2 linked regions of the Drosophila melanogaster genome follow. Changing the gene in region 1 together with any one later gene gives a genetic interaction. Each region holds a gene or a part of one and is shown in the gene's direction. Other genes may lie near its edges.

The links.
Region 2: of Ran (region 1) and RanGAP, changing one suppresses a phenotype caused by changing the other (phenotypic suppression), as found in Drosophila melanogaster (one study listed by BioGRID).

The regions. Positions count from the first base shown.
Region 1 is NC_004354.4:11,139,448-11,153,999, reverse strand, and holds Ran (Ran), read left to right. Parts: upstream 1-5,419; 5' UTR 5,420-5,514; intron 5,515-7,403; exon of another isoform or gene 7,404-7,584; 5' UTR 7,585-7,622; coding exon 7,623-8,057; intron 8,058-8,135; coding exon 8,136-8,351; 3' UTR 8,352-9,148; downstream 9,149-14,552. Other genes in the region: rtv (retroactive), read left to right, coding at 323-383, 640-1,034; Lint-1 (l(3)mbt interacting protein 1), read right to left, coding at 1,620-1,762, 1,873-3,364, 4,040-4,075, 4,149-4,286; CG15201 (uncharacterized protein), read right to left, coding at 9,305-9,386, 9,518-9,680, 9,751-9,847; CG15202 (uncharacterized protein), read right to left, coding at 10,621-10,741, 10,806-10,938, 11,227-11,320; CG15199 (uncharacterized protein), read left to right, coding at 12,969-13,210, 13,272-13,380; ssp7 (short spindle 7), read left to right, coding at 13,756-13,822, 13,891-13,999, 14,066-14,156.
Region 2 is NT_033779.5:19,436,520-19,452,415, forward strand, and holds RanGAP (Ran GTPase activating protein), read left to right. Parts: upstream 1-5,439; 5' UTR 5,440-5,736; intron 5,737-5,819; exon of another isoform or gene 5,820-6,208; intron 6,209-6,313; exon of another isoform or gene 6,314-6,784; coding exon of another isoform or gene 6,785-7,028; intron 7,029-7,111; coding exon of another isoform or gene 7,112-7,332; intron 7,333-7,392; coding exon of another isoform or gene 7,393-7,531; intron 7,532-7,589; coding exon of another isoform or gene 7,590-7,908; intron 7,909-7,973; coding exon of another isoform or gene 7,974-8,100; exon of another isoform or gene 8,101-8,231; intron 8,232-8,432; 5' UTR 8,433-8,666; coding exon 8,667-8,766; intron 8,767-8,825; coding exon 8,826-9,507; intron 9,508-9,577; coding exon 9,578-10,079; intron 10,080-10,156; coding exon 10,157-10,333; intron 10,334-10,389; coding exon 10,390-10,719; 3' UTR 10,720-10,798; downstream 10,799-15,896. Other genes in the region: CG10237 (uncharacterized protein), read right to left, coding at 1-114, 291-444, 513-607, 1,147-1,326, 4,145-4,202; Hs2st (heparan sulfate 2-O-sulfotransferase), read right to left, coding at 6,785-7,028, 7,112-7,332, 7,393-7,531, 7,590-7,908, 7,974-8,100; Top2 (topoisomerase 2), read right to left, coding at 11,219-11,542, 11,624-14,661, 14,728-15,151, 15,209-15,766. UniProt on the Drosophila melanogaster protein: GTPase activator for the nuclear Ras-related regulatory protein Ran, converting it to the putatively inactive GDP-bound state. Trans-acting factor necessary for meiotic distortion.

The DNA.
Region 1 (14,552 bases):
AGCATTTACTTATGCAAGCATGCAATAGTATCGATACTATCGATAAATTAATCTAGCTAGCATTATTTTGGAATATATTTTTGAAATAATTAATCGTTGATAAAATTGTAATTTTTGTATATATGTATATACATATATTTATATTAAATAACGTATTTATTTATTTTTGCAGAGCTTTTTACCTTTTGGATTCGCTGGAATTCCAGCGCCTGGTAACACTAATTCACGATTAAACTTCCTTGACTTAACATTTACATATATTTACTATTATTCATTATTATCATTATTGACTAGTTAGTAGGCGAAATAAGAAGACGGGACCATGCAATTTACGAGCCTTTTACTGGCTGTGATTTTTCTCATAAGTCTGGTTTCAATCGATGGTGAGTTCGTGTTCTCGTTGAAGTCTTTTGTTTAAGTTGCATATGTGTTGTGTGTGTGTGAGAGAGATATAATTCGATTTTCACATGGGGAAAACGGCGAAATCAAATTAAAAACTAACTTTTTCCGTTGTATTGTTATTTGCTTAATTGTTCCATTTGCATATTATTTAAAATTTTCATTTTTAATTCACTTTTAGATTTAAACGCTCAGTAAAACCATGTTTTAAATTTTAAATATTTGAACTTTCAATTGTAGGCCTTCTGCGCCGCTGCTATCAGTGCCGATCCCGTGGCGAACTGGGCAGCTGCAAGGACCCCTTCACCTTCAATGCAACGGACGTGGAGCAGGAACCGGGAGTGGCGGCCATCCCGTGCGCCAGCGGCTGGTGCGGCAAGGTGATCGAGGGCGGCGGCACCTATGCCATCGACGACTACGACCTGGCCATCCAGCGGATGTGCGTGCAGCGCGGTCCGGACGACAACATGGATCGCTGTGCGGACACCATCTACAACTATAAGAAGGTGTACATGTGCTTCTGCCAGGGCGACCTGTGCAACGGCGCGAGGAGCTGGTCCAGTGCACCCCAGATGATCCTCATCACCATGCTGCCGCTGCTCGGCTCCTGGCTGCTCCAGCGGATGCGAAACTAGACTGTTTGCTTTCTGTGCTCTTAGCCGGCAATGTGTATATACATCTTCCAATACTCAGCAACACTCAATGTAATATCAACAGTTCGATAAATACAAACAATTTTTTGTTATTACTTAAAATCGAATGTTCTTGCTCTGCTTAAGATTTTATTGCCGTTTACTCGTGCATTTTTTCGTATCATTTTTCCGATCGCAAATAAGGTACTTACATTCAATATGTAACCATTGATTATGGCTATATATGGCATAGATCCCGACTTCGGGTCAATCAGCTATCAGTGGAACAGACTCGATTGTTTGCGAAAAAGAAACAATATGAATATTATTCATATACCTAATTAAATCACTCCTGCTGCGTAACACCATTCTCTTTGTTTGCAAATAGAATATCCATTCGTTTTAATTAGTATATTTATAAAATAAGAATATAATAATCATTTATATAATCATATAATCATTTAAGTAATAATAAATTTTAATATAAAAACACGAACTCAGCATACCAACTAGGGTTGATTCAAATATATACAATCCTTTATGCAAGAATGAGAAACATTTAACATCAATGGCTCACTTGGCAACGCACTACTTCTCCAACTTATCTTTTTCGCGCAAGCATGGGGGGCAGCGAGAGTTCTGCAGCTGCATCAGCTGGCGATTTTTGGTGAACTCGTGGCAGTCCATGTGGTATAATCCGCTGCACAAGTGGCAGTACATCGCTTCGGTTTCTGGGAAAAAAAAAACAAGCAAAACAATAAAATATTAATAAAATCATTAAATGGGTAATACGAATTTAAGAAAACCAACTCAACAAGTTTGTGGTTGGTGGATGACTCACCCACACGACGTTTGCATTCACGGCACTCGCGGCATTTGCGGCACTTGGAGGCACCGCCGTCTTTATGCTGACAGGCTGATGAAGACGCAGTTCCCGATGCGCCAGATCCTCCTCCTGCGCTGCTCTTCTCCGAAATCTCGTCCGGCGACTTGCTCTTGCGTGTGTACGTCCTCTTCGAGTTGGCCTGCAAACGTTTTTCCGTCGGCGAGAGCAGGAATTCGGACTTCTCCTTGGTCTTCTTCTGACCACGAACGCCCATGACTAACGCGTCCACGGCATTCAACTGCTGGCCATAGTGAAAATCCACTCCGCTGGCATTCTGAACGGTGCGACGCTTGCGCTTCGAGTGGCGCTGACTGAGCTTCTTGAGCACCTCCGGCGAGTAGAGCTCAAAGAGGCCGAGGAACGTCTCCTGGCCGTACTCCTCCGGCTGGGTGCGGCTCTCGCGCGGCTCATCGCGCCACTGGGCGGCGGATGCGACGCGTCTTTGCTGCTCCTGCTGCAGCTCGGCACTGGAATCATCGGAGCTGCCGGATGACGATACCGCTGGCTGCGACTGTCCACTGGATGTGGGCGTTGGCGAGGATTTCCTGCACGTGTTTTTGCTCTTCGCGGTATTATTCTTCGCCATCCCCTGACTAGACATTTGTGGGATGGTCTTCTTGGCTGCCTGATTGGCGGCAGCATTCGTTGGCTCCAGCGATGGCGGTGTCCCCTTGCCATCGCTGGTTCTGTTCTTGTTGCGATCGTTCTGCAAACTGGTGATCTCCAGGTCCTCCTCGTCGTCGAACAAACGTGGCTGCTGCTTCGTCTTTCTGGCCCTTCTCAATGCCTGCTGCAAGTTCTTGCGACTCTGGGCCACAACGTGAAAGTTTACTGGTGGAGATTCTGCTTGTGGTGATGGAGGTACTTGTGACAACTCAGCCACTACGGTTTGGGTTATAGGCGCCAAGGGCGGCGGTGAGCTGCGGCTGATATTCTCTCGCTTGGCCGGGGTCGAATCCAGCGACCCTTTCATCAGCTTCGACTTCGATTGTGGCGGCGGCGGTGGCACTGATACTGTCGCCTCATCGCCTTGGAGCCACTCTGGCTCCGGCTTAACGGCGGCGATCTGCTGACCCAATCCCCTAACCGGCGGAGCCAGCATCAATGGTATATTCTCATCCAATTCGCTGAGCTTAAGCGGCGGCATACCAGAATCATCGTCCTGGCTCAGCAGGAAGTGCTTGCGAATAAGCATCTCCTCGGTATCACGAGCCATCACCGACTGTGGCATAATCTTATAGTTGGGATCGACGATCAAAGGCACTACCTGGGCGGAAACGTACTCATGGGCGATGTCCGGCAGGAACATGATGTTGTTCTCCTTCAGCTTCACGGAGAATTCCTGTAGGCTATCGTTGAGGCGTAGCAGAAGGAACTGCTGCTCGGCATTGATCTCGTACACCTCCTCCTCCAGTTCGTCCAAGATGCGACGCATCTGCACTGGATCCTAATGACGACAAGAACGTGAGTGTCACATTAGGTGTGGCTGGGATTGTTAGGTGGAAGCTGCACAGGTGCTAATGGCCATTAAAAACGCTAATGACCACAAGCACTGAGCAAAAAAGGGAATACATTTCAATCACAAATGAGGTTGAGATTGATGGATAAGGATGCACGTTGGAAAAATATTGAAATAAAGCGGCATTAAAGAATATGCGCATTAATGCTGTTAAGAAATCAGCAATATTTGCTCATATAGATGATGGATTTCGTCATATACATAATTCTCATATGTCTTCTTTTCAAAAAAAAGTGAAAGTAATTTCGAAAAAATTCAGAGATGCGAACGTGGTTCCTTTGGAAATGAAAACATTTGACCCAATTTTTGTGCATTATTAGTTTTGCTTAAAACGCAGTTGCCTCTTTCATGTTTCTAACCCAACTCTAGAAAATTATCGCGAGTACATCAGTTTCTTTGAAATGAAAAAACTAAACTAAGTACTACGTTTCATAGCTTCATCTACATACAGTTCTTTGTTTTGGTTTTTTTTTTGGTTGTGTGTAGTGGGAGGGGGGTTGGGTGGTGTTCTACGGGCGAACACCTTCACCCTGGGGAATCGGGAATTCTCGTGGCGTAGAGAACAAAGGACAAAGACTTGCAGTCTTCTGGCATTAAACCCACCGCATCCGCCTGCTCATCGAAGACCTCCGAGACCAACTGCGTAAGTGAGAGAACAGAGACAAAGGAAACAAATTAACTGGTGTTCGCCAAGGAGCCATGGTGCACTTACCGCGTGAACCTTGAGGAAATCGCGCAGCGATCGCTGGCAGTAGATGATGTCGTTCTTCAGCTCCAGCGGCAGCACGTAGTACTTCTCCATGTAGTACCTGAACTTGGCGTACTTGCGCTCCTTATGGTACTTGCTCATCTTGTTCCGATTATATTGACGCTATATATATAACGACGGTTATCGTACGAATCACGCACGCGACTGATTTCGGATGCGTTGCAATTGATGCACTTGTGGGAATTTTGGGCAAATTTTCGAAAGGGAGTGGGGTGGGAATTGAAACCGAATGTGGTTAGAAAATGTGATAGATTGATCACTACATTCGTAACTGATATCTGGCCGAGGAACTTCGCAATTTAAGATAAAAATGTGTTGCATCAACTGGTGGCGTTGCCAGATAGATGAATACATGTGCTCGTTCTCGTAGCGAATTTTTAATCTTAATATGCGTTTAATTATGAATTTGGAGAAATAAGGACGATGTGCGTCAATAACTTCGATGACGGAACGGTGGAATTTTTGAACATGGGGAAGTTTTTTAAAAATTAATTTTTCGTTATTTAGTGTTCCAAAATGCACGCAAGACCATCAAATTAGCGTCGATGAGTTAGAGTCGATGGCGGAACGGTGAAATTTTTGAACATTGGAAAGTTTTTTATTATTTTTTTTTTTTTTATGGGTCAAAATATGAACAAGCCTATACAAAAAAGTACCCATGAAAGTCATTTATGTTTGGTGTTGTTGACAGAGCGTGTTCCGGAATGCCGTGCTTATAGGCTTATGTAGGCCTAATTAAGTAATGATCCTTAAAAAATTCATCAAAAATTTATCTACAGTTTTGCAGAAAATCGTCTACAAGTGGAAGGAGTTTAAATGCCACCTTCTCCAGTACTACAGCCAATAAATATCATGAACCGCCCTATTAACGATAAGAGTTCTCCGCTGACTTTATTTTATTATTATTTATTTTATTACATTGCACTATTATTTATATTTATTATTTAACTCAGCTCACAGAGCGTATTCCGTCGTACGGCATCTCAAAAGTTTCGTAATTTTATTTATTATTTATTCAAAAAGTTTCATTACAATTTGATAGACAGTTTTTTTTTTTGTTACTACACGTGTTCTGTATATCTACTAAGCCATATATTTAATATATTATATTAAATAATTGCAAATGGTGTGGATGGTATATAAGTAAGCGCCAGAATTTGGAACCTCTCTATGCTCGCACGGTCACACTGGCCGATAACGAAAACATCGAGGCAACAGCTATACTTCATTTATCACTCAAATCTGGCAGCACTGCATTGTGTTTCGGCAAAAAAGAAAGTTGTGGTTTTCTAGGAATTTCGAGCAAAATGTAAGTAGAACTACAAAATGGGCTTTAAATTGTGTGCAAATTCGCTGCCAGCCTGGCTAATTCGCCACCGTGATGTGAATAAGTGCTGTGCGGCATGACGCCAGTGACGCCCCAAATTCGCATGCAATATGGACGACGGCGTCGCTTCGCCTGGAATTGTGTGCTTTATTCCCGACCCAGCGGCTTTTGCTGTCTGTCCACCCGGCCACCGCCCACCCGGCTTCCGGCCACCAAGTCCAGCCGGTTAACAAGCCCGATTGCCGGCTAGAGTTGTACAAAACAAGTGGCGTATAGAGCTTCCAGAGATTTCGCTGACAAAAAAAAAAGAAAAACGACGTGGTGCCGCCTCGTGCTGTTATCCCTCCTTTTCCGGCTCATGGCAAGCTCTGCAGTGGAAAAGCGCCGTCCAATTGGGACTGTCAGCTCCTCCGTACGCCACACCGAAGCAGGACAAATGTCCTTGTCCTTTGGCCATCGGAACATTCTCGCCGACTGCCATGCCATTCGCATTTTGTGAGGTTAAACATGAATCGCAAAAAAAAAAAAACGGCAATGAATTTGCTTCATGTTTCTTCTGCCGGCGGCGACGTCGGCGTCGTCGTCTGTCTGCGTCTGTTCGTCGTCCGTGTGCGTGTGCATGTGTGGGTGCGTATGTGTGTTAGAATTCGATTTGTTATTTAGAATATATAAATGCGATTGGCGATTTTCACGTGAATCGCGACTGCTGCGCTGTTCGCCAGCCAGCAAATGAGCTAAGAAAACGCTGCACTATTTGTATGTCGGCATTTTTATTTTTTGGCGCGCTTCGCAGCGTCCACAGGTTCTCACCAATACGAGTGCATGCGTGCGTGTGTGTGCTTGTAATTTGCCGGCGTTACAGGCGGCACTCAAAATAAGGAATTTTCCTGCTTTTATGGGCAGCACCAGTGGTGTGATGCGCAGGAATTTCACAATCTTGCCATCCTTAAAAAGTTACTCATTTCAGTCTCCAAAAGGAATGAGTCATCAAATGCCTTTTTCAGCGTTTTACGAAATATATCCATTCAAATTATTCACCTCATTTCAAATTGATGAAACTGATCTTGATTCATGCTGAAAATATGGTCATCTTTATTGATGAACTTGGTAGTTTGCTTTAATTCTTTTAAAAAGTACTTCTATTTGCTATATGGCCATTTCATTCAAAACCTATATTTACCAATATTTCTTCTCTATAACTTCTTAAATTTGTATATATCTTTGATTACAGTTCGCAGTAAATCATAAACAAATGTTATGCTATATACAGTACAAACACAATAACGCGATCAAGTTTCTTTAGTATGAAAATTTTGTTTACACTGCGCTTTTCTTCGAATGTTTTGAATGTCTCCAATTCTACGCTTAATATTCCGAAACTTATGCCAAGCGTTTATGCGCGCTAATTATTTGCGAACAGAAATGTCAGCATTTATTATTCACTTTGGTTTCCTATGCTCGGGTTTAAATTAGTATTACCCAGGTCAATTGTGGGTCAGAGCCGCCGTGGGTTTTCCGGGTCTCCTTTTGTGTGGCAAACTGTTTTGGGCTGCGCATAAACGTGGTGGGAATGTATGTGTGCGAGTATGCAGAGTATATCCTTCCGCCTCCCTGCCGCCTTCTTGTTGTTGTTGTTGTTTGGTGCGCCTGGCATTTCTGCTTACCTGCACACACAGCCAGCCATACCCTGTGGCCATCTCGCTCTGGCTCGGCATCTCGGCCTTCTTATCCTTGCGGGCTCAGCGGGAGCGGCAGCTGCAGTGTCCTTTGTCGTTATCCTGCTCGCTCCTCGCCGAACAGCTGGTCGCCGTCCTTGGCGGGCTTTGACGCATCCATTGTGCACGTCACATTTTGGACGGCTCGCAGGACGGGCAGTCAGTCGCCTGGCGCTCGCCGAACCAACAACATCCTAGCCAACACATTCCGCTCCTGTTCCTGTTCCTGCTCAAGCTCCGCTATATATATATATATTTAAATATATAAAGTAGCATAGTAGTTGCAAGTTGCTAACCAGCCAAACGCAATTGTTCCATCTGCAGCTCACCGTTCCAGAAATTTTGCATTAACGAAGATACCGAGTGCTTAGAAGGATGGCTCAGGAAGGTCAGGATATACCCACATTCAAGTGCGTGCTAGTCGGCGATGGCGGCACCGGCAAGACCACCTTTGTCAAGCGGCACATGACCGGTGAGTTCGAGAAGAAGTACGTGGCCACACTGGGCGTGGAGGTGCATCCATTGATCTTCCATACCAATCGTGGCGCCATCCGTTTCAATGTGTGGGATACCGCTGGCCAGGAGAAGTTCGGCGGGCTGCGCGATGGCTACTACATTCAGGGCCAGTGTGCCGTCATCATGTTCGATGTTACCTCGCGTGTCACGTACAAGAACGTGCCCAACTGGCATCGCGATCTAGTCCGCGTCTGCGAGAACATACCAATCGTCCTCTGTGGCAACAAAGTCGATATCAAGGATCGCAAGGTGAAAGCGAAGAGCATCGTCTTCCACCGAAAGAAGAACTTGCAGGTAAATAAAGAAAAGCTGAACTTTTATTTGAAATTTTGTTAACGTTATTGTGCTTGTGCCTTCTTTTTTGTCAAACAGTATTACGATATTTCTGCCAAATCGAACTACAACTTCGAGAAACCATTCCTTTGGCTGGCGCGCAAGCTGGTTGGTGATCCCAACCTGGAGTTTGTCGCCATGCCAGCCCTGCTGCCGCCCGAGGTTAAGATGGATAAGGATTGGCAGGCGCAGATCGAGCGTGACTTGCAGGAGGCCCAGGCGACCGCACTGCCCGACGAGGACGAGGAGCTATAAGCCTATTTGTAGTTAACTTAGAGCGAAATCCGACTTGCGCGAAAACACAAACACACACACACTCAAACACAAAACCACAACACACAACACCACACCGAACATAGAACACTGAATCACAGGCACCGTATGAAAAGGCGTGGCAAGAGGGAATGAAGGATTACGGATTAGAGGAAGTAGCATTAGCAGTAGTGTACTATCCGTACACTATTGGATTTGCCAGCCTATGTTCTTCGATCGATCGTTGGGAAAATCTACAAACAAGCCCTTCTTAATACGTCGATTGTATTTAAATTTTAGATCCCCAATTCATTAATAAGTCGGTTATAATTGATTTTTTTTTTGTTTGTTTCCTTATACGTTGGCTCTTGGAAAAAAAGGAGTAAGTAAGTAGTATTGTCATTAAAGTGCTAAAGCAGCAGGCAACAGCAACTTAATCGAAAACCAAGAGAAATAAATAGTCGCAGAACGTATTTTTTTAAAACTTGCAACACCAATGTTCTTTTCCACCCAAAAAAAAAAAGGAAGAAAAAACCAAGTTACTTCAACAAAAGTGTGAATGTTAGAAACGAGCGAGACGGCATGCTCGGAGCGAGCGAGAGCGCAATAGCTGGCCAATGAACTGAGTCCCCCCAAAGGAAAATTAATACTATTGAAAAAAGAAAAGAAAGGAAAACACTGGAAACTATGAGAAAATAACCTATAGACAGGCCGCCGAATTCGCATCCACATGTTATTAATCTAAGAACTAAAGAAATAAAAAATAAACGTCGAAGAAAAAAAAACTAAACGAACGGAGCTGGATTTGCATTTGAAAGATGATAAGGAAATGATGCTAGATTATAGTTATCGCATACCCTGTAATTGAATGGGTAGCACATATATTCCGTTAGCTAATCGTCTACTGTTTACATTTCTACATTTGAATACACTGTTCTTAATGAAACTCCTCGGATTTAGGGACACTTGAGGCAGCAGGCAGGGAAAACTCCGGTGAAGCGATCCTTGTTGCCGCAGGTGACCTTCTGCTGTCCACAGCTGAAAAAAAGATATTGTAGATGGCTTGGTTAGAATCATGTGGAGATCGGGGCAAAGTTCAGCTAGGAAATATTTTGTTTTCTTCATGCAACCTAAGTTGCTAATTAAGATCGCTGTCATGATGCACTTACTCCTCCACGATGGTCTTGAAGGTGTCCGTGCAGATGGCCCGCTTGAGGCACTTGCCATCCTTGCCGAAGTCCACGTAGTCCTGTCCGCGTCTCAGCAGCGGCAGATACTTGAGAAAGATGGTCTCATCCTCCGAGTTGCGGTAGGAGCACACGGGTTCGCTGGCTACGTACAAGATACATATGATTACATATGACATATGGAACAGTAGTAGGAGATCCCATGGCCAGCTTACCCGCATCGACGGTAGGCAGCAGTGCCTGCGGAAGCAGGAGCGCCAGCAGCAGCAGGACGGCCGCCAGCAGCCAAATGGATCCGCAACGGTTGTGCATCTTTGGAGCGCGGTGACGAGACTGAACCGAGAGCTGGCCCAGCCCGTTGCCTATTTATAGGTTGCCCAAAAGAGCCACTTGGAGCGCGGCTCGTTTGCGAATCAGCCAGTCAGTAGTCAGTGGTGATTTGCATTTTCAGCTGCTTGATTGAGTGGGATTCCGCGAGCACTTGCTAATTGCTTAATTGCCAGGGAGGCGGACTGATCAGATGCGTAGTTTCCACAGAGAGTGTGCTCTTCCAGATCGTACAAAGGTGTCCAAATGGATCATCGTCTCAAAGGGAACAAAATTAAATTAAAAATTAATCATTGCCGTTTACTAACATTCCGTTTTGAATTTTGAGCACAAATCCCAAAAATATCCGCATAAAATGCAAGAACATACAAAAGTTTAGTTTAAAGCAAGATCATTAAATTTATTATAAATTATTTCTATTTTATATTTATTATATTGACTTTACTTTTCCACAGTGTTTTTGTGCGTTTCTAGGCTGATTTTAAAGCAACAAATTTTGTGGAGAACCTACTTGAATTACAATGAACTTATCATTTGGCTGAAAATATATACAATGAATTTCATTCTTTGGGTTTTTGTTAGAATAGATACATATATATTTCCGGCAAGAATATCAAAAACATAGAACAATAAACCTATCAACATAAATACGCAATGAACTTACAAGTAATATTTAACAAACATTGTGCCAAAATAAAAATGTACAATACTAGGAAGTATGTTTTTCTATAATAATACTTAGCAGCCAGGAGTCTAAGCTAGATGTAGTTGCTCTCGGACTCCTGGCACACCAGCTTGGGACAGCATTCCGGAAAGGTGCGTCGCATATCCGAGGCGATCCTGCACTTCTCCGTGGGCACCAAATTATGGCGACCGCAACTGAAGTAAACGTAAGTAAATATGCATTAAAAATATATATTCATAATAAGTGTTTTTAACTTACTAGCTAATTTCGAGGACATAGTCTGGTCTGCAGTAGATGGACTGGCAGTAGCCCTCGCGATTGATGGGCTTGTAGGACTGTTTCTTGGGTATGGCCTGGTTGAGCTCCTCGTAGTAGCACTGGCCAGGATAGTCTGGAAACATAAAGCACATAAACGATCATTATCTGGTTGGAACTATAGTACTATATCCCTTTGATTGATATGATATTACTACAGTATCTAAGAGACATTATAGATACTATAGTATCTGGTAGTCATTATAGATACTATAGCATCTGTATATCTGGAATCTATAATATATTCCTTTGATTCATATGAATTTGTTCATATGATATCATTTTCTAGTATCTAGTTTTCACTACAGTATCTAACTACTATCTAGATAGTATAGTATGAATACAGTATCCATTTCTTAATGACCTGGATGCACTGCATTTCCGCGGTAGGTAAGATCCGCCCGAGCGGCTCCACAGATGCCCAGGAGCACCAGGAGACAGGCGACTCCGGCTCGCATAGTCGCCGAATGAGCGGAGGAGCTGGAGGAGGAGGAGGAGGTGATGGTGGTTTTTTTCTTTCGGGGGGATAAGCTAAGAGGCAACACCACGATTGCTCGAAATCCAAATCCGACTTGGCTGTTGAGCGCTGCCCGTGCGACTGAGTCAATTACAATTAATTGTTGTTGCTTTTATATAAAATTAATAATGAACCATGTGCCGTACTACCACGAGTATGTGGCACACATGTGTGTGTGTGCACAACCAGATAGCGATAGCATCTGTGGCTTTTGTTTGCCGACCGACTTAAGGCGTTCGCTTTGCGCCGCCCGCCAGCTCTAGTTTAAATTAAGAATTTAAATTAATTAAGCCAGCCCTGAAAGCGAGAGTGAGTTCTGGCGGGGATCGGCCAGCAGCGGAGGAGTGAAGTTGGCAGGCGGAATCCCCGACAGCCAAGTGACACGGTTCGAGAAACTGTGGCAAGGTTGAGCGGTAATCACGGCACGCAAATAACTCTTTTGTGCCACCGAATTTTGGGCCAGCTACACTTGGAGAAAGCGGACTGTCAATTATATTCTATAGAATAAAACAAAGTAGTTATATACTTAAAATGCCTGCTTAATCCTCAATCCTATGTCAAATCTTCAATTCAGATGTATAGAGATATGTATGTACTATGTACCCCATTCATTTATCGCAGTGTACGCTGAGCACACAACACTTGATTCCCGCGTACGTAATATGTACCTAGATACATTTATGCAAATTTAATGGCACTCACGAGTGCAAGTGCATTGTGATTTCGTCTGGACTGTATTTGCATTAGTTAATTCCGCCGTGATTCGATTGGGATTGAATGGAATGGAGTCAAGTCCACGATTCCCACCAGAACTCGTAAGTTAAGATCTTCTAAGCATAGATCTTCTATAACAAATCGCAAATTAACCATCTACTTAAGGTAGATACAGGATAGATAGTTAGTTACAGTATATATAGATAGATAGATAGATACATTGTAGATGGATAGATACAGTATAGATATATGATAGATATATGATAGATATATAGTTACAGTATAGATAGATAGATTGATAGATATAGTATTGATAGATAGATATATACAGTATGAAGTGATAGATAGATACAATACAGATAGACTAACTAATTATGATAGATACATTACTTGGTATGCAAATTGGTAAGATTGTCGTATTACTTCTTAATTACATATAAGCTATAGGTATAGTTATTAACTTTTGCTAAAAAGTTGACTACATTTTGGGTTCCTCTTCTATTAATCCTACTAGAATTTCCTGAAATGGTTTACCCAACTAATAATTAGTTACCCAGCTCCCAAATGGCTTAACCAATATTTGTTGATTGAAAAACTGAATTACTTTTGCAACTATCCCATGAGTGGAATGGCGAATACCTGATAGCATTTGCTTGGTGCATACTTTCCTGGTCTAGGCCAACATCCTCGAGTGTCAGCAAGTGCGATAACGTGGTGCGCCACTTCCTCCACTTCCAGATGACGAGAGCAAGGCAAACGCAGCCGAAATCGGAATCACGAGAGCGTTGATAGCCAGCTGATAAGATGGATGGCCCGCCGCCTATAAGAGATGAGTTCCGGTGACGACCCAATGCTATTCCACAACGAGAGCAACCATGTCCGGAGCAGCTTGGATGTCCCTAGCTTTTGTGGCCTGTCTGCTGGCCGCATCGGTGGACGGCAATGGGTTCAGCACCCAGTATCGTGGTCACACGCAGCACCCTAGCCTGGCGGAGCACTGCCTCTACGAGGAGTTGGACCTGGCCGTTCCACTCAATGGCTACGTTCTGCCCTCCGGTCAGCAGGGCTACTGCATTCGCTTGGAGTGCACCGATGACTATCTGCTGTTGATACGCCAGTAAGTTTCGAGATTTGATCGCATGCCCTCACTATATCCCATTTCGCCCAATCCCTTCCAGCTGCGACAAACAGCCATGGCCGCGACCTGGCTGCCACCTCTCACCCAACGACTATGATTTCAAGTTCCCCGAGTGCTGTCCCCAACTCGAGTGCTCCGACGAATACTAGATACAAGATACTAGATCCAAAAGCATCGATCTGTTCGGAATTACTATTTCTATTTAAACTATAATCCATTGATCTTGTGGCAAAGTTAGCCAAAGTACTAGTAACAAGTATAATCTTTAGTTAAATAAAAACATATATAGTTTAAGAAACTAATGATGTTATCACTGGAACTGCAGCTGTTTCGCCAGCCTCCGGAACGAATCTGTATGTAACGAGAATTTTCCACCTATTTGATAAACCCGAGGACCCCTGAGACGCAATCGCACGGGAGCACAGGGATCTTGACCTTTCAGTCTAATCGCTGGCGCACCCCGAAACAAGTGGAACTATATAGTCGCCCAGCCGAGCGATCCGTTGATCAGTTAGCTACATAATATGAAATCGGTCACGTTCGTACTCTGCCTGCTCGTTCTGGGCGCCCACTCGCTGCTGGTGTTCGCCGGTAAGTGGATGCAGTGCATCGTCGCCACAAACCATTCAATCCCGCATGTTCATCTTGTTCATTCGTAGTGGATTGCGAGATCGGTGGGCATCAGTTCAAGACCGGAGAGAAGTACACGCCGGAAGGTCGCTGCCTGCAGTACACCTGCCAGGCACCCAAACAGGTGACTGCCTTGGGGTGAGTAGCTTCTACATGGATTGATGACTCCTTGACTCACCCACCTTGCCACTTGTGGCCATCCAGATGCCCGGCCATCGCCTCCTTGAAGCCCTGCAAAATGGAAGAGGATCTGAGCAAACCCTATCCCGGCTGCTGTCCCAAGTTCAACTGCTGACAACGCCTCCCTCGCAAGTCGAACTGCAAATGTGAAATGAACTATGAAAACTGAATATATAACTATAGAAACATACATACCTTAAATGAGAGATGCAGTTGGATGGATGGTTATGAGGGGTTCATACATAATTAGAATCAAGTTTGCCAGTTCTGCGTTTACAAAAACCAAAATAGCGCATTTATTTCGATTTCGATTTCGGTTTCGGTTTGGTATACATGCTTGAACTTAGTCGTATTTGCTCTCATACATATAGTAAATAATGTGTATACATATATAAATATTCTCGTGTCAATTGCCACTAATTCACCATTCACTTGGACATGCACACTGTTCGCTTGCATAACAAGTATATATGTATACATATATCTCTGCTTAACTACATCTACATATCTG
Region 2 (15,896 bases), on another chromosome or scaffold:
AGATCACAACGGCTCCGCAGATCTGTGTTTCTGGCTCCAGCATGGCCGCCTCCAGGAAGAGCACAGCTCCCTTGAACACCTCATCGAGGGTGACCTGCTTGTGCTTCCAGCGCTCTGTAATCGGGGATTACGAAAGATTAATACAGGATCTGCTCAATGCTTGGAGCAACTATGAAACTTCAAATGATAGGAAAACCTGCATCTTAACTAAAATAAACTTTACTCTGAAGATCGAGATCTTTGCACTCAAAAGCTAATATATTGAAGTATCCTTCTTTCAGTGTACTTACTGCCCAGTTCGAGGACCAAAATGCGACGACCCAGTTGATCTCGGTTGGGGAAGACGGTAAGGATGTTGTGCTTGAAGATGTTGGCCTCGTTCGATGGCTTCAGGTCGGTGTACACATCCGCGTGCTTCACCTTGAAGGCGTAGTACCGCTTAATCTGTTCCATATTCAGAATATATACAATTAGTAACACAGCTGGAAACTGGGTTGCCACACTAGACTCACCAGATCACGGGCACTTTCCGGGTAATACTTGCAGGGCCGCAGGTATCTGATCAGCCACTCCTCGTTTCCCTTGGGGTACAGCAAGTCCGTCTCCGCTGGAAGCATATCGCAAATATTAATCGACCTCACCTTCAATAGTCTTAATTCTAAAAAGTCACTAAACCACTGGCATTAAGTTTATCCAGCAATTAAAAGGCAATCGTAATTTGTAACAATAGTTACGAATCTTATGCAACGAAATCCTCTCGAGGGCGCGCTGCTTTTAGCCCCAACTTGTTATTAGTGACACGAAGTCGCCAACTAATGATATAGAACTATTCGTTCGAACTTGGTGTACAAATGGATTTTCAATTCCCAACAATCGGGTAAATTATTAGATGCAGGCTAAGTACGAAGTTTATGGCTTAAGTTTTATTAACTCAAGTTTTTATCAGCTTTTGGAGATCCCTCGGATATAAATTATGAAAATAGCTTAGCAAAATGCATATTGTATGATCTCAGTTCAGATATATGTATATACTTTAAACAGATGTAATGCAGTTTCAATGACTTTCATCATGTGAGTTTTAACTCATGTAGTTAATGTATAATTATATTGATTCAAAGTAAAACTCCATTTCTGATCACGACTCACCTTCTAGAAGACGGGCCAGCTCCTTGGAGGCCTCCTTCTGGCGCTCGGGTGTTTCGCGCAGCTCCTTGATGGCCACCTCCTTGCCCTGGGCAGTCGGCTCGCCCAACTCGAACTGGAGCGTGTAGTCGCCCACCTGGAGCGTGGGCAGTTGGTCGATGTCCGACAGCATGGTGGGTACTCCTGGAAGGGAAGCAGTTGGGGTTCGGTTAGCGACAGCTTCTGTACTTTGAGCTGGGGCTGCGGGTTTCACACTGAGAGCACTGGGAACTTTGGCCAACTAAATAACTTGAGCTAACTGACATCGATTGCCAATTAGTTGTCATACTTCACAATTACTACTTACTCATTTTGCAATTGTTGCTGCTCTGGCTGAACTGAAATTATTCTGCGATTATATTAAGCTATGTGCTTTTTCTAAGCGGTTCGCCGCTGTATATTTTCAGTTTGCCAAATGTAAAATTGTGCCCTCTATTTATAAGAAGAAAAAAGCGTAGAGATTTCAATTTATTAGCGAGACACAAGTGACTCGGAACCGGCTCAACTGCATCGAGTTTCTAGACTTTCCCGCCAGTCAATGCGATGATCGTCTAAACATATCCATATATGTATTCATTTATTTATTAATCACCTGGCCGACCTTCACCTTGACATTCGCAAATTGCTTAAAACGGAAGAAGAGGCCAGAGATTCGCGAAGATAATGCAATTCTTCAGAGATCAGAAAATAACGTTAGGAGCCTTGAACTAAATTCTGGAGACACTTGACGCGTTCTACTTGAGCGTAATTTCCAGTTAGGCAGGTTTCGAATTGCGAGATGAGGAGCCAGGGTCTGTGAGCTTATATAGTGGGGCAGTTGGATATCAGAAATTAGCACACTAGATTTCCCATCAAATCGGAAATTAGCGCTGAAGATTTCCCATCAAATCGAAAATTAGCGTTAGTGCTGGCTCGAAACAAAAGACTAGGAGATTAGCATCCGAAGCGCTGACATTGAAAATTGCTACCAATTTCGGCTAGATGGGCCAGGTGATTTGCTTAGGGTATCGTCTGTTTTTGCATTCATGAATGATACACAAGAGTCTACTGAATCGCTGATGTTGTGTCTGGGAAAATACGAGATCTTAAATAGTACACACGGATCACAACACAACACAAGACAACACAACACGACCGAAACTAGTTTGGCCCAAACTTAAAGGCTATAATGGTATAATGGCTAACAGTATTCCGCAAAGACGGCCCAAAAAACCAGCTGCGAGTGACGCGTGCAACGGAGCTGAAAGCCCAGATGAAACTGTTGCGGCCAAAAGCGCGAGTCGAGATTTTATGCCAGGCCAAGAATTAAAACTGGAATTGTGAGCGGAGCGGCATGAGAGTGGGTGTCGCCGATCGAGACGCCAGTGCTGCCAAGTGGGTTTGTTTCCCGACAGTAACTACTTCTGCTATAAGGGGGTCTTTTAACTATAGTTGTTTAATGCTTTAATGCACCAAAATGAAGTAGTTTCAACATAATAAGCTTCTACTGAAACATATATTTTCTTGCTTGCTTGCACTAGTGATGGGGAATAACTATATAATGCTATTATATGAAACAAGTTGTGCACCCATTAAGTGATCATCACCAGCTGAATCTGAACTTGAGCATGACATTCACGTGCCTCGCAAGAGCGTGGAGTTGCTAGATGGAGAGACACATGGAGTTTGCCCAGGGAGAGCGAGCAAGCTTTACTGGGTCTGGGGTGCATCGTCATTGGGAAATGATGCCACCGCCACCTCAAGCCGGTTTCAGTTTCGCTTTCAACTTGGACTTGCCTAATTTATTCGGGTTTTCTTCGGGTAATCGCCCACAGTACTATTGGGCTCTTGAAAATCCCTTGGCATAGGCATTTCCCATCGCGACCCTGAAGCCCCGTGCCCGTGCATAGCCATCCGGTTTCAATGCTGCCCAGCTACACGCCAATTAGTGCTTACACCTGTTCGGCGTACCTACACCTGGGGTCACCCCACTAGCAATTTGTTGGAGACCACAAACATTGGACACTTGAAAGCATCTTCAACTATTTATAGATCATAGTTATAGATCATAAGATCGCATCTAATGACACCGCATCACCATGTCATATCATATGTCCCTATTTTCTCAGCCCCATGTGTTAAGCCAGGCATATTTGGTATAATTAACACGTCCCAAAGCCGAGCACCCTCTGCGTTGTGGACAGCAAATGGTTCCCGCCCGGTTTTGGACAAATCGGTTCAATCGCACGATCGCACGTGCGAAGACTTCGGCCATTCATGGATACGGATTTACGTTGCGATGATACTCTCGATTTCATTACGGCCAGTTTCGGTCATTTGGTCAATTTTTATTGGCCATCTCGAAGCGGATGCTGACGAAAACTGGGTGGTACAAAGCTGCGAGTATATGGAAAAAACTTGAAGCGAGTAATATGAGTAATTCTGGGGTTACGACCCATTGCAATGTCAACCTTCGCCCTTCGGTTTTTTCTTTGCAAAAAGCGTGTTAAAAACCCTGCATGAGAAACCTGCTTTTGAAGAACGTGACAATGGCGGTTCAAAAGCAAAAGTGCTTTGACCTTACTCAAGAGATGGAAAAAGTACAAGTCGGTAGATATTACTGACATCGAACAAATGGATTGTTACATGAATACTCGCTTGATGTCCAAACAATTTAGATGGCATATCAAAAGGCATTGCAAAAAGTGTTGTTTTTTTTAAATTATTTATATTTTGAATACCTTTTAAATACTCTTTCTCGAACTAATCGTGACTTTCAATTACCAGCACAACTGTATATAAGTTTTTAACAAACTGGTGTATAGTTTTTCGAGCAACTGTAGCCACGCGCCTTATATAAATACATACGTACGTATATAGAAAATAATTCTATTTGAGGGAGATAATTCTAAGAAAATGCATATAGTACTTGCAATAAATATACGATAAAAAATGGGGTTCGGCAGATTTCGCTATTGCTCACCAAGTGGGAATTCAGAGGGCAGGCACCTCATCGCAGATGCAGTGGTCAGCATGGTCATGGCGATGCAGATCGAATGAATACACACACAAGTTACTTTACAACTAACTAAACCGGTATGCACATGCAAATGCTAGCGTATGTAAATAAATTAATATTTCTTTATTCAGGCTGATCGAGTCGGGAGCATCGGCGGTGGCTAAATGGGTCAATGTCGTCGGCGAGTTACTGAACTTTGTCTGAAATTCTCGAGCGACGAGTGCGAAAGGGGGGAATGCATGCAACAGTAATGAGCAAAAGGCAATGCAAAAAACACGGACAGACAGTGATGCCTCGTAAATAAGGGCTGAGCGTAGCTACATAGTGATAGTGATGGTGATCTGGCTAAGATATTTTTATGGTCCCTAGCGCTACACACTCAGAAATGCACTCTTAAAAAGAAAAGCACTCTATATGTATATATATATACAAATGTATATATGAGATCCAATTACTCACCTTGTTTGAATTGAAAATCGGCTAATCCACAAATAGTTGGCTGGTACAGTGGAAATCCTTCGGAACTCCCGTTCGACTCCGATATATGTACCTAGTGAGCTTGGGTCGCGTTTGAAGACTGAAAATACAAAGCTGCTTGTCAAATCGTTTTATAGCCGCCCCTTTTATGCACTGCGTGCATTGCACATATGTATTGTACGACAAAGTTATAGTTATCAAGATATATACATAGGTCGGTCGGAATAGTCGGGCACTCGTAAGGCCAGCGCGACTTAATAGGTCATTATAAGCGACCGATTCGAGTTAAGAGCTCTAAAGATCACGTCGCGAATCGCCGCATGGGATCTTCTTTTTTTTTTTTGGCTTGTTTTGCATAAGTTCACCTGAAAATGGTTCACTGAGCTCAGCATTAATTTTATGTTATTTCCATTGTTTTTAGTACGTTAAAGTGCCAAGACAAGTGCGGTATTTCTCACGGTGCAGCGCACTCAATCGATTTTCCACAGCAATTAACATTATTAAATATAATGTTGCAGAAGGTACACTGAAAGTAAGTGAGTACTACAAAATTCAAGAACTTTCTTCACTTTGTGTGCACTTTTAGAAATGTTCTTGACTTAAAACAATATAGTTATTATTATTATTATTGAAAAAATCCGTACTTTCTATCAGGAAATCCACTTTGCTATATTTTGTAACTATATACACTTTGTAACTTGTACTGTTTAGCACTTTCGAGAAATTCTCATCTGCCACTTGCGAAAAGTCCACTTCCTATATTTGTTCTAGAATGTAAACGAAGGAATATTTTCATTTCTCGTCGCAAAATACGAAATTTTTAAGTTAGCTATATAGCATCGGGGCACTTTCGCAATCGCGGCACAGCTTTATATATGTATATATATTTATATTAAGTGCGTGTTCTGAGCGTTTCGCACAGTGTATCGTGGTTAATCTTCTGATGGTTACGCGACTTGGATGCAATTAGACTTGAACTTTTGAACGCTCCGTACACGAGTAGTTTAAAGACTAATCGCCTTCGCCACTGTGACTGAGTGAAAAACGAGTTTGTAATCCCTCTTACGGATCGTAAGTGTGTAAGTTATTGCTTTGGCTATCACTCCTCCCGTTCGACACAACAGTAACTTTCTGCTTTTCTGCCGGACACTAGCTAATGTACCTTCTTTCGACTGGCGTGTCCGCGTTCCACGATCAAGTGATCAACTGACTGACGGGGGCTGTGGGTAATTCGAGCTCATTTGCTTTTAGTTTCAAGCACGAGCAATTAATTAAGTATTTCACTGCTCGCCGTTTCCAAATGTATTTCCATGCCATTTCTTGCGCTTGCCTGAGCCCATTCTGCGTGTCGGACCGCCATTCCGCCATTTAGCCATTCGGTCATTCCGTCCTCCAGTCAGACGATCACCTTCGAGCACGGAGCTACGTCAGCCTTTAAAGTCCGGCGGAATTTCGTTGGGCAGCCAAGTGCAATTAGCTAAGTCGAAGTACAGAACGCTGAAAGTTAAAAGTAACCCACTGATGGCATTAATCAATTTACGAACACGCAATCCCAGCGACAGCTGTTGATACGCACAGCGCGCTTCACATGGACATACAGACAGACAGACGGACAGACACTCCATTATCTATTAGGTATTTACATGCATTTAATTTGAATGTCAAATTCAGATTTATGGCCTAGCCTATGAGAGTTACAAACAATGAGAGTCGATTACATATGAATTTACACCTATTTCTAGTTCTACGTATGCATATCGATTCAATTCATCCATTCATTCCGTTGTATTGTCGAGTATAAAACGTACATTTGACTAATCATATAGAGATATTGTGCAGACAATTGTTGCTAGATATTGCTTACGATGAACTACAAAAGCGTTCTCGCCTGTTTTATACGTTTAAAGCTTAGACTACGTACAAAAGGTTTGGGTTAGTAATATGTCAACGATATTCAATGCTAAAGTCTTAGGTAGCGCTTAAGTGTACGGATGAGTTACTCTTAAGTACAGATCAAATCTATGCGAAGGAGAATTACGTATTTACAATACAATTGTCGGAGACTCCTGGTTAGATCACTGGAGTCGGCCGAATCCTCGCTCTGCGACTCCGTCGCCTCCTCTGCAATCATTTGGGCCGAATCTTCTCGTACATGAATTTCTGCACGTGCTTGTTGTCCGGCTGCATGAGCTTCTTCTTGTTGAACTCGAATTGGGCCAGCGCGAAATCGTACAGATCGTTTTCCATTTGCCAGATTTTTGTCTTTTGAATGGATTTAATTGTCGATTCGCTGGGCGGAAGCTTGGAAGATGTCACCCGCAGATGAGATTTGTTTGAATTATGATAGTGCTCACGAAAGCCGTGAAAAATTCTGCAAAAGAAAAAAAAAGAACAGGTCAATGAAGCAACTGGAGTATTCTAAAACAGACAATAACATATGGTTGGGAGGCACACCTTGGAAGGGATCTCTCGAGCAGATCCACAAACTCGTACATCTGCTCTGTGACTCCGACTAGGAAGTATTCGTTGACTAGATTGCGCTTGGCCTGGTCCAAGGCCCAACTGCTGCCGGGTTCCCAGCACTCGGCTGCATGGCCACAGAAGAAGGGTATCTGCAGCCACATGTTTTTGGGATCACAGTCGGGTTGTTTCTGCACCACGCACTCATCGAAGGTCTGCAAAGATGTGTGAGGGCTTTGGTTACAGGGAGGTTAATACCTTGATGCTCTACCTACAATTTTATTGCCCGCCTTCTTGCGGACTAAATTCGGTCGGTAGTTGTCGCCAAAGCGTAGAAAGTAATAGTAGGAGACAAGTCTGTCGAGCGGTTTGCGCACCAAATTGATGTAGATGGGCTTGTGGGCGATTTGGAATCTGCAAAGGAGTAATGCAATTGAGACGGGCTCTGCTGGATTGGCTAGATGTTACCTACTTTGAGAAGTCTAGGAAGGCCATGTGGCCGTGATAAAGAGCTGGCTTCATCTCGTGCCACCTGGAAACATTGCGCACGAATTGGATTTGATTGGGAAGCGAGAGGACGTGCATGTTGGCAGTGACATTGATGTGCAGCACATGGAATTTATTGGGCTTGCACAGATCGTATGCTATGTTAACAAAGCTGGTGGATCCCGTTTTCGGTACGCGATTGTAAAGCACCACTAGGTGCTCCTCGAAGTCAAAGTCATCGGTGGTGGACGAGGCATGCTGATCTGGGCTCAGAGAATCGCCCAGCTTGGAAAGCGGCTTGAAGGCTGCACAAAGTAGGTAATGGGTGTAAAAGTGATATGGTTTTGCCTAACTACCGGACTCCACTTACCATGTTCCAGGCGAATCTCTGACCAAAGCAACCAGTAACCTGCACAGGTGACCGCGCACAGGGCTATCAGGATCAGCCAGTGGGTGGGTCGGAGCAGAATCCACATCTTAAGCAGTTTCCTAAACATGCCTCGTGTCGGTTTGCCCTACAGGTCAGCACGGTAGCTCATATCAGCGTATTTATTTCAGCATAATCTCAGGTCGTTGTTTTCCTTGTTTTTTTTCTGCAACCAACATCGAGCAGTGTTGGTCAGCAGCTGCTGGACAGTGCTGCAAGGCACTGAAATCTGGTGAATCTGTGGGAATGTGCAGCTGTAGCTGAGATGACTAAATTAGTGATGGAAAATAGCTCAAAATGCTAGCTCGGATAATTGCATTTAATTTCCAGCTAGGAATCCGTAAATTAATTGCCTTATATTTATAACTTCAATAAATATGTTTTTCCTAAAACACAACACAGAATATTTTAGGCCAGTCACAACCAGATCTGCATCACCCTTCAGCAACCCTTTTGCCTTGAGCATCACTGTTTTTATTAGTGTGACCACCCTTGCCGGCAAATAATACCAAGCAATGCCAAAATTCTAGCGCCCATTTTTGCGAGGTTAAAATAAATTTCGCAAGCCGGCTGCAATCGCAAAGTACAGTGCGACTTATATACACTCGTATAAAATAATTCCATTTAAAAGCAAGCATGTCCACCTTTAACTTCGCCAGCATGGCCGCCCAACTGGGCCAGGAGCAGGGAATATCATTCGAGAACAAGGTGCTTTCCTGGAACACAGCTGCCGATGGTAAGTTTGGGTGACGCTTTGGGTACTCCATGCAGTGGCTATATTGAGGCTTTTTACAGTCCAGGATGTGGTGGATGCCCTTAACAAACAGACCACCGTGCACTATCTGAATCTGGACGGGAACACACTGGGCGTTGAGGCCGCCAAGGCGATTGGTGAGGGTCTGAAGCGTCATCCAGAGTTTCGGAAGGCGCTGTGGAAGAACATGTTTACTGGTCGTCTCATATCGGAGATTCCGGAGGCACTCAAGCACCTGGGAGCCGCGCTAATTGTCGCGGGCGCCAAACTGACAGTCCTGGATCTCAGCGACAATGCCTTAGGACCGAATGGCATGCGAGGCTTAGAGGAGTTACTGCGATCCCCGGTCTGCTACTCGCTGCAGGAGCTGCTGCTGTGCAATTGTGGCCTTGGTCCCGAGGGCGGTAGTATGCTGTCCCGGGCTCTGATCGATCTGCATGCCAATGCCAACAAGGCGGGCTTCCCGCTCCAGCTGCGTGTGTTCATAGGTTCGCGCAATCGTCTCGAGGATGCCGGTGCTACGGAAATGGCAACCGCATTCCAAACCCTCAAGACCTTCGAGGAGATTGTTCTGGAGCAAAACTCCATTTACATCGAAGGCGTCGAGGCCCTTGCCGAATCCTTCAAGCATAATCCTCATCTACGAGTGCTAAACATGAACGACAATACTCTAAAGTCCGAGGGAGCTGAAAAAATAGCTGAGGCTCTTCCCTTCTTGCCACTGTGAGTCGGTTATAAAGTTTTTGATGAGGGAGAGTGAGTGAGTGTTATGTGATATCTTTTTGCTTTGCAGGCTGCGTGAAATGAGCTTTGGAGACTGCCTGATCAAAACTAATGGCGCCTACCACTTCGGTGAGGCTCTGGAGAGAGGAAACGAACGACTGGAAGTTATCGACTTAGGTTTTAACGAAATCAACAGCGACGGCGGCTTGGTGTTGGTGAATGCTATGGGAAACAAGCCCAAGCTACGCATCTTGAATCTAGATGGCAATAGCTTTGGAGAAGAAGGCAGCGAGAAGATAATCAGCGAGATGAGTAAGTTGCCAACTGCTGCCGCACTGCAACCGTTTCAGCACCAGGAAGAGGAGGATTTGGAAGATGAATACCAGGCTGACAAGCAGGACGCAGATTACGAAGAGGAAGAGGAAGTACACGAGCACGCCAACGATACTACCGAAGAAGCAGATGAGGATAGCGAGGGCGACGAGGACGACGAGGAAGACGAGGGAGACGAGGAGTACAGCAACGTCGCGGAGGAGACTGCCTATGTCACTACGAATGCCTACACGACCAAGGTTAGTTTATACTTCGGAGTACTGTGCAAATGGTAACAGCAATTAATCGAATTATCTTTAATTTTAAATTTTCACAGCTTTTTAACGACACAACCAACTCGATGGCCAGCGAAACTTTTGCGGTCGCGAACAAGACGATCAGCCAAAAATGCACTCCAGAGAAGTTCTGTTTGAGCCAGAAACCCTGCTCCCAGGAAGATTTCGATTCGCTAGATATGGATAACAAACTTGAGGCTTTGCAGTCGATTGTCAACGTAAGATATTCTCAATAATTAGAATGCAATTAGAGTAACGTAACATTTTTGTACAGCAATTCACCGGCGACAACCATTTGCTACTGCTCGTCTTCACCACCTTGAAGTGCGCGCATTTGTCGCAATCCTCGAAAGCTGCGTTGGATCTGGCCGTCTCCTTGTACCAGGCCACCTTTGACTATGCCATCAAGACAAAGCAGGAGACACGTGTACTCAACTATGTACTGATGCAGCTCCGTTTGTTGCCCTGCAAGGAGGTATTCCATTCGGACTACGATGTCAAGAACTGTCGATTTGCTCTTCGCGAGGCTCTCAAGCAACCAACGTTTGCCAACGACAACATTAAGAATTCCTTTAAGACTTTCCTGGAGGGTGCGGAGTCGTAAAGAGAATTAGAGAAGAGATTACCTTTATTTCCCACTTTCCGATTTGTGTAGCTTTCGCGAATAAAAACGTATTATTCCTAACCCGTAGTGGTGTTTTTTTTTTACCCAAAAAACCAATCGAAATTTAATGTATTAGCCATTCGGCAAAAGTGATTTATTTACATGAAGAAAACTCGTATGAGACTACAAACTATCTTTATGGAACATGTTAATACATCGATATTACGTTTGTAAATTCCTCTTGGTGGCTTTCTTGCTGCTCTGGAACAGAATCAGCTACAGTGAACGAATGTAGCGAAGTGTTTATCTATAGTTAATAAAAACACGAATTATAAAACATTGACGTTAACATCGAGGAGAACATTGAAAGATTATAAAATAACGAACGATCGTGGCGAGCAAGTCCGCAAAAAAAAGTGCCTCCTCGAGATTCTCGATGCGGATAATGCTGATTCTAAGAGTCCATCTTCTATCAATATCCTGTGTGGAAATGTGTTCCTTAACAATTAAAATCAGAATCATCATCATCATCTTCATCAATCTCGATATCATCATCATCGCTTTCAATTACAGCTCGCCTCTTCTTGGGCGGAGCTTTCTTTTTGGCTCCTCCACTGCTCTCATCCTCTCGTCCACGCTTAGCTGGACGCTTGGGCGAATCATCATCGCTGGCATTGCCATCATCATCAGAGCCAACGTTGCCACCGTCTTCCTCCTCATCCGAGAAGAGCGAGCTGTAGTCTATCTTCTTACTGGCCTGTCGACGTCCAGGACGCTCTGCACGAGGAGTTACTTCCTCCACGTCATCGTCGCTCTTTTTCGCCTAAAGATGAAAAATATTAATTGACAATTAAATACAGATTTGGGTTTAAAAACAAATATGGGCAATTACTGAAACACTTACCTTGGCCTTGCTGAAGTCAATCTTGCTCTGCTTGAGCCCGCCGCCGTTCTCCTTCTTTTGGCGCGGCTTTTTTTCTCCCGGCTCCTTCTTGACAACCGCCTTCTTGGCCTTGGGTGAGGTCTTAGAGCCGCCCTCGACCATTGCATCAAATTCGTCCACCTCATCGCCGCTGGCATCAGGTTCGGCTTTAATCTGCTTGCCCTTCGGTTCCTTCTTCACTTTTGGCTCCTTGGGCTCTTTGGGTTTCTTCGGCTCCTTAGCCGCCTGAGCTACCTTGGCAGCCGCTGCCATTTTCTTAATGATTTCTTCGGTGATCTTAAACTCGACGGGTTCTCCATCGGGATCTGGGAATACGTCTCCGGCACCCGCTCCGCCTCCCATTGACTTAACCTTTCTGCCCTTAGCTGAGGCCGACTTCTGGCCCTTCAAAGCCTTCGCGGTCTTGAGATTGATCCCCTGCTCTTCTGCGCGCTCCTTCTCCTCTACTTCATTTAACTTCGATTCGAGGGCATCCAAATCATCCAGCCAAAGCATCTCCGGCGTCTTCTTGCGCAGACTTTCCAACTCGGACAGTTTAGTGTCGCGCTGTTTGAGTAGCTCGTTTTTCTTCTCCTCTGTCAACATCCACATGGACATACCCAGAAGGTAGTCAAACTTTTTGACATCAGTTAGTTTCTTAAAGGCCTTTTCCGGATCGACTTCCTTTTCCTTCTTAGCCTTTGAGCTGACACTGGGAGCTGCCTCCTCTTCTTCTTCGTCCTCTTCGTCAGCTTGCTCGGCATCCTCCATTTTAATGCGGCGCTGCCACTCCTTGACGGGATCGGGACGATATCCACGCTTCAACAACTCATCACACATGGCCTTGCGCTGCTTGTTCTCCACCACCAGCTTCTTCTCACACTTTTCGAGAATAAAGCGCGCCTGATCACTGAGGCGATCAGCCTGCGCCGTGAGCTGGCCGACCAAAAAGTCCCTCCGGCGGGCGTAGTACTCTCGTCGCAGTTTGTAATACTCTTTAAGGATATCGATCGCGGTGGGGAAGCGTCGCAGACAGTTGTTCTGGTCGAACGCATGCATCTGGTTGGTGGACAGCGTCGTGGTAAGTTTGAACACTCGGTAGAAACCACCTTCTTCTGCATGAATGCGCTCAAATTCTCCAGGTGCGAAACTGATCACAAAGCGAACGGTGGTGTCTGTATGATACTCCCTGTACTCGGAAATAATACCCTTAACCTTTTCGGTGCCGTTTGATAAAGGCTCCAGGACATTTTCCTTGTAGTTTTGCGTCCATACGCCCACAGGGAGTTCACTGATTTCTAAACGGTTTCCGGACAAAATTTGAATGTTACCAGTCTGAATATAACGACCATCCGAAACATACTCCATGCGTCCTAAAAAGTTCTTGTACCACGGATGCATCACACTTGGCTCTTGTCCGTTTATCATCTTCCTTAGATTTTTCATAATCTCACGAGGATTGTAGTTGGATATCTTCGTGGACCATCCAGTTCCTATGCCCTCGGCTCCGTTTACCAATACCATCGGTATGATGGGCAGATACCATAGTGGCTCGATCTTTTGGCCATCGTCCACCTGGTAATCCAAAAGTGGATCGTCCAAAGGATGGTAGATGAGTCGCGTCAAGGGAGACATTATAGTGAAAATGTAACGAGCGCTGGCGCAATCTTTGCCTCCCGACAAGCGGGTACCAAATTGACCGCGTGGCTCAAGCAGATTAATGTTGTTGGCACCCACAAAATTCTGAGCCAGATTCACGATTGTCATCTGTAGGGATACCTCTCCGTGGTGATAGGCTGACATCTCCGCCACTGATCCGGATAGCTGGGCCACCTTCACCTCACGCTTGTCATTCCTCTTGAAGCAAGTGAACATCACCTTCCGCTGACCCGGCTTCAAGCCATCCACCAGACTAGGAATGGAGCGCTCATTGTCAGCATTCGAGAACAGCACCAACTCCAGATTGATAAAGTCTGCATAGGTGATGCTCTTGGTGCCCTTGGTGTAGAGATATCGCTCTGGCAAACCGAGCTCCTTGCGACGCTTCACCTCGTCCATGTGGTTGGTAAGCCATACCTTTCGCGACTCGATGTGCTTCTTGGAGAAGGCCATAACAATGCTCTCATCATCCACCGATCCATCGTACTTAAATAAGATGCGATGGCGATCCATGTCTTGAAAATACTCTTTCGCCTCCTTGGAGGTCGAAGTACCCAAACCCTTATAGTACTTTATATTGTACGTATGGTGATTAGCTGTATCATTTTTCCACTCCTCGAATTCGGGTAGCGAGTAGAATGACAGCTCCTCGTTTTTCTTGGTTGCCTTCACAATTGGTGTAATGAACTCCTCGAGGAAGGGCAGACGCAGAAGCTCTGGCCAATTGGTGTGGATAAAGTTGATCAAGAGACCCTTGATGTGGGAGCCATCCTGATCCTGATCTGTCATGATCATCACTTTGCCATAGCGCAGAGTTTTTAGATCGTCCTCAGTGAGGTACTTCTTTTTGTATTGCAAGCCAATTATCTTGCATAAATTGTTGATTTCGGCATTCTCCGAAAGCTGCTTGAAATTAGCTTCCCGCACATTTAGAAGTTTACCCCTAAGCGGGAACACGCCGTAGAGATCTCGTCCGATCACGCCCAAACCGGATACGGCCAATGACTTGGCTGAGTCTCCCTCGGTGAGGATGAGGGTGCATTTAATCGAGTTCTTTCCACCCGCCTCGTTAGCGTCCTCCAGCTTGGGAATGCCCTTGATCTTGCTTGACTTGCGACCGCCCGTCTTGGCAATGTCATTTTGGGCCTTGAACTTGGCCCATGCCAGCACAGACTCCACGATGCCAGACTTGGACATGTTGTTGATGAACTTTTCCGAGAGGGTACACTTGGAACCGAAGCCCTTTTGTTGCAGAGTCATGTTCTCCTTGGTCTGCGAGTCGAAAGTGGGGTTCTCTATCAAGCAGTTGACAAAAACCCACAGATGGTTTCGGACCTGGAATGGCTTGATGTTGATGCCACCTGGAAGAGGTTCAAAGCAAATATTAGTTGTTGTTTAAGAAAATACACATTTTAAGTTAAACGTACCTTTGTTCTTTTTCTTCAGAACCTCGAGCAGCTGCTTAATGAGATTGTCTACCACATGGTCCACATGCCGACCGCCCTTGTAGGTAGCTATCGAGTTGACAAACGAGACCTGTTGGAAGCCTCGATCTGAAGGACAGCAAGCCACCTCCCAACGCTCGTTGGCAACCTCGTGGACTATCTTGATCGGTGGGCCAGAATCGTCGTCCGTGTTCTTGATGTGCAAATCAATATAGTCCTTGAAGTTGCGTACACCCAGTTTGTTGCCGTTTAAGAAGACGGATACTCCCTTGGATGAGGCGGCCACATCGTAGGCGCGACGCGACATTAGAGCCACAATATCTTCATCGAGACGGTCCATCTTGAACTTGGCCAGATCGGGACTGAATGTGATGCGTGTGTAGTCAGTGCCATTGAAGTCCTTGATCTGTGGGTTTACTGAACATTAGATGATGGTCTAAAATAAGAAATGTTATTTCCTTACCTGCACATCGGAGGCTTTTCCCATGTTGTTTCCCCAAGTCTGCTTGAAACTTTTCTTGTATTCCCTCGTGGCAGTCTCAACGGTGAAGCTGGTGGAGAATATGTTGCAGAGCTTCGCTCCGTATCCGTTCCTGCCGCCAGTGACCTTCTTCTCATCGTCGTTGTAGTTCGACGAGGTCAGCAGATGACCAAAGATCATCGTTGGAACGTACATCTTCTGCTCCTTGTGCATGGTCACCGGAATGCCCTGGCCGTTGTTCCACACGGACACCATATTGCGCTCCGGATCGATGTCGATCTTAATGGTGTTCATGCTCTTGTCTCGCTGCTTGTTATCTGCCGCATTCACAAGAATCTCGTCGAATATCTTGTAGAGGCCGGGCACGAAAGAGATCTCCTTCTGCACCATGCGGTTTTGGGAGTTGTCATACACCCACATCAGCTCCTTGGTGAACTCCACGGATCCGATGTACGAGTCGGGTCGCAGCAGGATGTGCTCCAGCTGCGACTTCTTCTGGTACATCTGTTCGATGGACAGGGCCTTGTTTCCGTTCTCCATGATGCTTCTGTCGCTGTGCTTTAGCTGAATCTTCAAAGAGTAAGCAAAAGGCATTTGTTAATGTAATATTAATATTAATAACTAATATTCCGAGCCATTGCCTTAGCTACTATTAATCACTCGTCCTGCG